Linked DNA regions of Rattus norvegicus. Each later gene encodes a partner of the first gene's protein in a complex. Links are inferred from orthologs where the notes say so. Each region holds a gene or a part of one and is shown on either strand. Other genes may lie near its edges.

The links. Proteins that work in one complex are often made in the same cells at the same time.
Region 2: Cdhr5 (region 1) and Anks4b share a complex: the UniProt entries of both Homo sapiens proteins name them as parts of the IMAC/intermicrovillar adhesion complex. The link is inferred for Rattus norvegicus from reciprocal best matches to the Homo sapiens genes CDHR5 and ANKS4B.

The regions. Positions count from the first base shown.
Region 1 is NC_086019.1:205,808,286-205,812,447, forward strand, and holds the start of Cdhr5 (cadherin-related family member 5 precursor), read right to left. Parts: upstream 2,808-4,162; 5' UTR 2,769-2,807; coding exon 2,675-2,768; intron 2,595-2,674; coding exon 2,419-2,594; intron 2,064-2,418; coding exon 2,013-2,063; intron 1-2,012. UniProt on the Homo sapiens protein: Intermicrovillar adhesion molecule that forms, via its extracellular domain, calcium-dependent heterophilic complexes with CDHR2 on adjacent microvilli. Thereby, controls the packing of microvilli at the apical membrane of epithelial cells.
Region 2 is NC_086019.1:183,977,450-183,981,601, forward strand, and holds the start of Anks4b (ankyrin repeat and SAM domain-containing protein 4B), read left to right. Parts: upstream 1-1,352; 5' UTR 1,353-1,373; coding exon 1,374-1,537; intron 1,538-4,152. UniProt on the Homo sapiens protein: As part of the intermicrovillar adhesion complex/IMAC plays a role in epithelial brush border differentiation, controlling microvilli organization and length. Plays a role in assembly of the complex.

The sequences.
Region 1 (4,162 bases):
TAGTCAGTCATTCTTTGTCTTTCATTCCACAGACACTGGTGGCATCAACAATGTGATGGCCTAGGAGCTCCTGTTCTAGGAGGAATGCACTCAAACTGTAAAGACAAGTTTTAGAGTGTGGCCACGTGCATGTGGTGGGTGCGCTGAAGAGAGAGAATGACAATCCTGGGGGCACAACCAGCAAAATATCAAAGGGAGAAAAACAGCATCTCACGACTTCAAAAACAGGTCTCCAAAAGGATAGTGGGAAAAGGGCCTTCAGGTCGAAAGCAAACAGCTCATTCCCATGACAGCCCTTCCTGAGACCCAGGGAGACATGAACACAGCCAGGTGCTGGAGGACAGAGACGGAAAGCTGCTCTTCTCAGCTGTGACAGATGTCAAGGCCAGGGCTCTCTCTGTGCCTCTCTGTCTCTCTGTGTCTCTGTCTCTTTCTCTGTCTCTCTGTCTCTCTCTGTCTGTGTCTTTCTGTTTCTGTCTCTGTCTCTCTCTGTCTCTTGTGTGTCTGTGTGTCTGTGTGGGAAGTATATTTGTGTGTTGAAGGTGGAGCACAGGGCTTCAATCATACTAGGCAGGTATTTGTCCTGGCTGGTTTTGTGTGTCAACCTCACACAAGCTGGAGTTATCACAGAGAAAGGAGCCTCAGTTGAGGAAACGCCTCCATGAGATCCAGCTGTAAGGCATTTTCTCAACTAGTGATCAAGAGGGGAGGGCCCAGCCCATTGTGGATGGTGTTGTCCCTGGGATAGTGGTCCTGGGTTCTATAAGAAAGCAACCCAATGGGGCTGGAGGGATGGCTCAGTGGTTAAGAGCGCTGACTGCTCTTCCAGAGATCCTGAGTTCAATTCCCAGCAACCACATGGTGGCTCACAACCATCTGTAATGGGATCTGATGCCCTCTCTCTTCTGGTGTGTCTGAAGACAGCTACAGTGTACTCATACATAATAAATAAATAAATCTTAAGAAAAAAAAGAAAGCCAGTAACTAATATCCCTCCATGGCCTCTGCATCAGCTCCTTCTTCCTGACCTACTTGAGTTCCTGTCCTGACTTCCTTTGGTGATGAACAGCAATGTGGAAGTGTAAGCTGAATAACCCTTTCCTCACCAACTTGCTTCTTGGTCATAATATTGGTGCAGGAATAGAAACCCTGATTAAGACAGAAGTCTAACACTAAACTTTACCCAAAAAAGAATTTCGTTTTGTTTTTAATTATTATGATCTATTAGAGACATAGGCCAAGATGTGTGTGGGTAACATGTCGTGGTGCCCGGCAGGAGTGCAGGGTGTGAGAGTTGCTCACAGTGAAGCAGGAAGTGTGTGGGGCCTGTTACTTCTTCTAGTGTCCTTTAGTAAAAGGCTATTGATGGAGGATAAGATGTATGGGATAGGGTAGGGGACAGTATAAAGTAGGAGGGTTAGGCATCAAAATGAATTTGCACACCAGGTCAGTGTCTGCATACCACAGCCTTGCCCACCCACTTGTGCATTTGACTTTGACTTCCAGTAAGAAAATGTGGAAGTTTCTGTGAGGCTGCATGGGGTTGTGGCTATGAGCTTTCGGGATTCCCTGTGTAGAGAGGGAATAGAGGAGGGCCAAGGACAAGAACAGCAAGTGGATGTGCAAGAAGGGTCAGAAAGGAGAGCCACTGGCCAGGGCCCCATGGGACGGACTAGAGGTAGGAAGAGTAAATCCGACTCTAACTGAGGTACAGTCAACCGTGCCAACAGTGTTCCTTGGATGGGGTGACATCAGAAGTGGCTGGCAGGTGAAGGTGTCTCCCAGGTGAGGGGTGAGGGGCCTACTTAGGGTCTCAAGGTACTGACTTAATACTGGGCTCTACGTTAGCTGAGTTTGAGTCTGGAGCTCAGGGCAGAATCTAGGCTAAAAGAATCATGGAAGTGGCTAGGAGAGAGTTGATGTTCAGACTCCCTGGGGGTAAGGTCTTGGAGGAGTGGTCTTGGGGTACTCTGACAAAAGGCCCAGGTGGTCAGGTAATGGGGTTAACTTACCAAAGTATCTCCTCTCTTACACTCCAGGACTGCCTCCAGCAAAGAGTTTTCCTGAGGATAAAGCCAGGGGCCCTATGAGTCACTTGCCACATAGGGAACTATCCTCCTATAGGATAGGAGAGTACAGCTAGGAGAGCAGGGAGCGCTCCAGCGCCCCAGTCATCTGTGGGAAATCCTGGGTATAGGGGACATTTGGCAACTTTGTCCCCTTATGGCCCTACCCCTCAGTACCAACCAACCAACCAACCAACCATCTAACCAACCACTGGGCCTGAAAGGGCTCCTCACTGCCAGGAGCATATAGATCCCTTCAGTCCCTCTTTCCCTGAATCTTTCCCAGGTTAGGGGAGTGGATGCCCATTTGTGTCCCCATGAAGGCATATTCTATTCGGTCTACAGTCTGTACCTCATAATCTGGAGTCACGATGAGAAACAGCTTATTGCCCTCAACCTTAAAGGCATTAGGGGTGGACAACTGTCCCAAGGTCACATACTGGTCTTCTGGGACAAAAATGTCCGCCAGTGGCCCAGAAACAGTGGTGTTCTCGTTCATTGTAAACACGGTCTGGTTCGCAGAGCAGACTAGAAAGTTGCAAAGGAGAAGTTGGTTCCTCCCAGCCCAGCTCTGCCACCCACCCATCCTGCCCATGTTCAGTACCTACCCTGAGCCTGGGCCAAGGTCCCTGGAAGGTGGCCAAACAGCACCGTGAGCAATGGCAACAGCAGGGGAGGCCACAGGAGGGCCGGAGCCCCCATGGTGGCAGCTGTCACCTGGAAGAAGGGTCCGGCCGGCTTGGTTCCAGGGCTGGTACAATTCCTGCTCCAGGGCTGGTACAATTCCTGCCTTGGCGACCTTCGCCCCTGCCAGGCACCGCCTCATTTTATGATCCTTTACAGATGGCCTCTACCAAGGGGGATCCCGCTGGCCGGCCGGCACTAACAGGGGACATGAGGTCATATTGCAGCTTGGACTTCCAGGAAGTTAGCTGAGGACTCAACTTACAGGCACCACACATAAGGTGTAAAAAATCTTGAGAACCAGGAGTGGAGAATAGGCGTGGGAAGCCAGGGCAAGGCTCTGGAGCCATAGACCTAAGGAGGCTGAGTCAGGGTTGGGGGCTGAAGCAGGACTCGGGGATGGAGCCATAGGTCTGGGGAGCTGGGGCAGGGCTGGGGAACTGGGAGCAAGAACAGGGATGCGGGCTGAGCCATTGGTCTTGGGTCCACTGTGACCCTCATCTCCTCTCTTTCTCTTCAATGTTTATTTTAGAAAATCACTGGAGCTCTGTTATGTTACCTGCCTTCCCTCTTCCACTCCCAAAGGACAAGGCTGTGTCCCAGTCAGCTGCTCCTGCTGTCTGAGAAACACAGCAGTGCCCCCAGGGTAGGGCCTGGCAGAGCCTTGGTGGGTGGTAAGATGCAAATAGAACCTTTCAACCACTGGAGGAGCTGGGGTTTGGGGAGCCAGTATCTGATGGAAGACAAGAATCCCAGAGGACACAACCCAGCCCTCCATTAGACCTGCTTCCTCCTCTCTTGCTTCCTCTCCTCTGCCCTACAAGCTCTCAGAGATGAGAGGAAGCCCCTAAGTGGGGCCAGGAGAATGGTAGGGGGTGTTCTGTTGAAAGGGCCTACATAGCCCTCCCTCATTACTCTGGGTCTTTTGCTTTAGATGTCTGAAAACCTTCCCAAAGCTCCAGGCCTCTCTCTGTCAGAACTGGGCACTGTCTCACCACAGCCGCCCACTGAGAGATGACATCACCGGCCAGGCCTCATGGCTGGGCCATGACCACATAGGATGAACTCAGGTCCTCCCACTCCTGCCTGAGCCTCCTCCTCACCACTTCATTTACCCTGACCACATGGCTAGGCCAGGGTGGGGATCCTTGATCCCTGGAGATTTTGCTAAATGAACCACAGGGCAGGGTTGGACTCTAGGGAATTCAGCTAGGAAAAGAGGGGTTCAGCTGATGTCAGAGATAAAAAATGCCCTAGCTGGCTTTCCAGGTTCAAAGGGCAACAACTGGGTGTGGTCCTAGTCACTGAATGAGATGGATGGATCCGTCCAAGCCTGCCAGGTTCACGGAGCAGAGACTGCCTTGATTTTATCAGATATCACACACCATGAGCTAAAAGACCAGGGTCTAAAT
Region 2 (4,152 bases), about 22 Mb from region 1:
GCAATTCCTTAAAGCTAAATAGAAATTACAACAAAACCCAGAAATTCCACACCTTGCTATATGCCCAAGAGATGTAAAAATATATGTTTACACAGGAACATCTATGTGACTGTTCTTAATAACATTTTTCATCATTAACTTAATGGACACAACCTAAACATCCAACCAGTATGAGAATTAAATGATAAAGGGTATTTGATATGCTAGTATAGAAGAATATTATTCAACAATTTAAAAAATCCTTCAAAACATATTCCTTTTAAATAAAGGCCACAAAACTATGTCACAGGATTCCAGTGACATAAAGTGCTCACAATTGCAGCTATATAGAGAGAAAATTGATTCATGGTTTCCTAGGGTTGGGAGTAGGAATTAGTTGCTAACAAACACAAAGGATATCTTTTAAAAGTTCTGTTGTTACATTTATTCATTTTTCTATGTGGTATGGGAGAGTCTGAGTTGGAGTGGGTTGAGGAATGGTTTTAGTGTGGAGAAAACATTGCAAAACTGAGTTTACAAGAGGGCAATTGGCATGTGTTTGAATTTACCAGTCTGACAAAACTAGAATTTAATAAACTCATTGACAAAAAAAGACCACCTACATGAAATAGTGCTGTACATGAATGGGATCTGTTGAAGCTGTCCACAGCAATCTCCACCATGCAAATGAGGGTAGCCTTGATTGGCTGATATTTGATTTCCAGAGGATACTGGGTTCACATGGTATAGCCTGTGGTTATACTTGGTTTAGATTGGCCTTCCTTATTTATATCATTCTACACTGGAAAGTGGTGAAGCTTTCTAGACCAAACTTTTTTATTTTTTTATTTTTTTTTGTGGGAGTTCCTGGAGAACCACCTGTTTGTCTTCCAGCCTGCCATCAGCCTTCTGTCCTCCACTGTTATGGTAAAGATTTCACAGCTGTGAATTTACCCAGATCTTTGATTTTATATTTCAAATGGTTAAATTCAACTTGTACAGACTATACCTGTAAAAATCTACTAAAACACTCCTTCTCCCATACCAGTGAACTTAACCAGTTTTGAGTTTTTTGATTATTTCCCATATTCTGTACCTAGGTGGTCAGTATCACATCTGACACTTGTTAATGGGCACAGTAAAGATTAAATGTGCTTCATCACATGCATGAGAGACACCAGAGGCCTCAATGTTCATTGTTATGGTTGGTCTTAAAAGTAAAGGTCCAAGTCCAGGACTGTAGGCCTTCTGGATGCCTTCCAAGAAGCGAGGGTGAAGTGAGCTTTGGCCTGGAGTAATACTCCCTGTCACTGATTAACCAGCCCCGTTGGAAGACTTGTGTGACCAGCACTGCCTAGACAAAGACACCTGGACAAGCTCTGGTGGGCAGAAAAATGTCTACCCGCTATCACCAAGCAGCAAGTGACAGCTACCTGGAACTTCTGAAGGAGGCCACTAAGCGTGATCTAAATCTCTCAGATGAGGATGGCATGACACCCACTCTCCTGGCAGCCTACCACGGCAACCTTGAGGCCCTAGAAATAATCTGCAGTAGAGGGTGAGTGATCCCTGTTAGGGCATCCTGGGTGGGGAATGCCACTCTGGCAGTGAGAGACAGAGATGTCCACATAGACATTTTGCTTCTTTGTAGGTCCTCTAAGTAGTTGGCTTTTAGAGAAAGAAAGACTAAGCTAGGTATGGTTTCTTTCCCTGTGAAACAGCCATTTAGAAGTCACTCAGGCAGAGGTGGGTAGGGTGTGGATTGTAACTATATGCCCTGAAAATCACCTCCATTGAATTTAAATGGTTAACTCTTTAAAAGGAGGTCACCATGCTTATTGGTTCAGTGATCTTCCTTGGTTAGGACATGGCTTTATTTTACTTTTCCAATCTTGTCACTAAAATCTATCTTTACAAGTACTCAGCCTTGATGTAAACTCCTGGTTCTTCTGGCTTTGCCATCTATAACATGAGTCTTCAGTCCATCTTTACACACACACACACACACACACACACACACACACACACACCCCATCCCTTAGCTTTAGATTCCAGTCTTTGCTAACTCTTTTATTCTGCTCACCCTGCTCATTGCCAGAGAGCTAGTCAGGGTAGGCAGTTACACTTAGATGGAGAGAAATGGAGCAAAAGAGGAGTTTGGGTGAGTGAGAAGAGTGGGGGGAAGAGGGAGAGGTAAAGAGTAAGGGAGTCAAATGACTCCAGTACAGTGCATATTTAGCATCTGGTAGGTGACAGTCCACCTCTCCCCCTTCTCTCCCCTTCTTCTGCTTTCTCTTTCTTCCACTCCCTCCTCTTCTGATTTTTCTTCTCATATATTTTTGGTGCTGTCCAGATGGTCCCTATCAACAAAACATCCTGGTGCTCTTGTGGCACTCAGATCTGAGAGGGGAAGCCAAGCAAGCAGCTTATGGTAGATGTGACAAAGTCTGTTCCAGGGAAGGGAAATTAAGCTAGTAGAGAAAGACGGGGAGCTGATCAAGGCTGAGGGAAGTGCTTTCCCCCTAAGGCAGAGAGCACTGTGCATTCCAAGGGTAGAAGACGTTGAGTTTGGCTGGACATGACTTGCACAGGAACAGACCTAAGCCATAAGACTGGACTATCAGGGGCCTTGAGACTTCTGTTCAGGACTTGAATCTCCTCCTGAGAGCCTAGAAACCACACCCTCTATTTACAGAGGAAGCAGTCACATAGATTTATGCTTATGAATATCGTTCTGGCGATTGTACATTAGTCACAGAGAATGTCTAGGGACGTTCAAGGTAAAAGTGAACTAACATGGTATCACTGGGTGTGAGTAGACACGGAGCTTTGAGTGACAGTTTGGATGTCAGATAGTGATTGGATGTGGCAAGTAAAGGAGGAGGAGGGTCAACATCTGTTTGGATTAAACAGATTGTAGATATGGACACCTCATTGAGTTGGGGAACATGTCAGAAAGAGCACGCCTACTCTCTATACCAAATCTTCTGAAACTTTATTCAAGATAGGTCTTTCTTCTTTTGAGTTAATGTCTCAATTTTGTTATAGCAATTAAATACATAACACACTTAATTTAATTTATAAGGATACCTTAATATTATAATCAGCAAATTTATTTCTTAGTTTATCCCCCTGTTTGATACATAATTCTTTTTTTCTAGTTTGCAGTGTTGTGGTGATTATTCCTCCACATAAGTCCTTGTCCATATTTTTTTCCCCGAGTGTAAATTCTCAGAACTGAAGTTTTTGGGTCAGTTGCCTGCACTTGTGCTATGATCACAAAATGCCTCGGGCAAAGTAATTTACAGAGGATAAAACTTATTCTATAGTTTTAAGAGCAGCCAGGAAGTCTAAGATCAAGTTGGCAAGAAGTTCAGTGCAGGGAGAGATCTTTCCATGCTGGCTCCTTATTGCTGCCACATCTGGGGTGAGGGGGACAGGGACGGAGCCCTCACATAGTAGGAGAGAGAAGATGCACGCGAACAAAATTCTGGAAAAGCAAGTTCCTTTCTTTGACAAGGAACCCCTTTACATGGTGAAGGCGGGGTTCCTGGTGAGGATGAAAACGCCAATGCTGAGCTGCCATGCACTTTCGTCTTTGTGAGCTGCGTGTCTGTAACATTGCCCCACTTTTATATGTCTATATAAAAGTGTGTGTGTCTGTGTCTATGTGTGTGTGTATGTGTCTGTGTGTGTCTGTGTGTGTGTGTAAGTATGTCTATGTGTGTATATATGTGTATGTGTGTATGTGTAAGTATGTCTATGTGTGTGTAAGTATGCCTATGTGTGTGTGTGTGTATGTGTGTATGTATGTGTCTGTGTGTGTATGTGTGTGTGTGTAAGTATGTCTATGTGTGTGTAAGTATGCCTATGTGTGTGTGTGTGTATGTGTGTATGTGTAAGTATGTCTATGTGTGTGTGTAAGTATGTCAATGTGTGTGTGTATGTCTATGTCTGTGTGTGTGTGTCTGTGTGTGTGTGTGTGTGTATGTATGTGTCTGTGTGTGTATGTGTGTATGTGTGTGTGTCTGTGTGTGTATGTGTCTGTGTGTGTATGTGTGTGTGTGTAAGTATGTCTATGTGTGTGTAAGTATGCCTATGTGTGTGTATGTCTATGTCTATGTGTGTATATATGTGTCTGTGTGTGTATGTGTGTGTGTAAGTATGTCTATG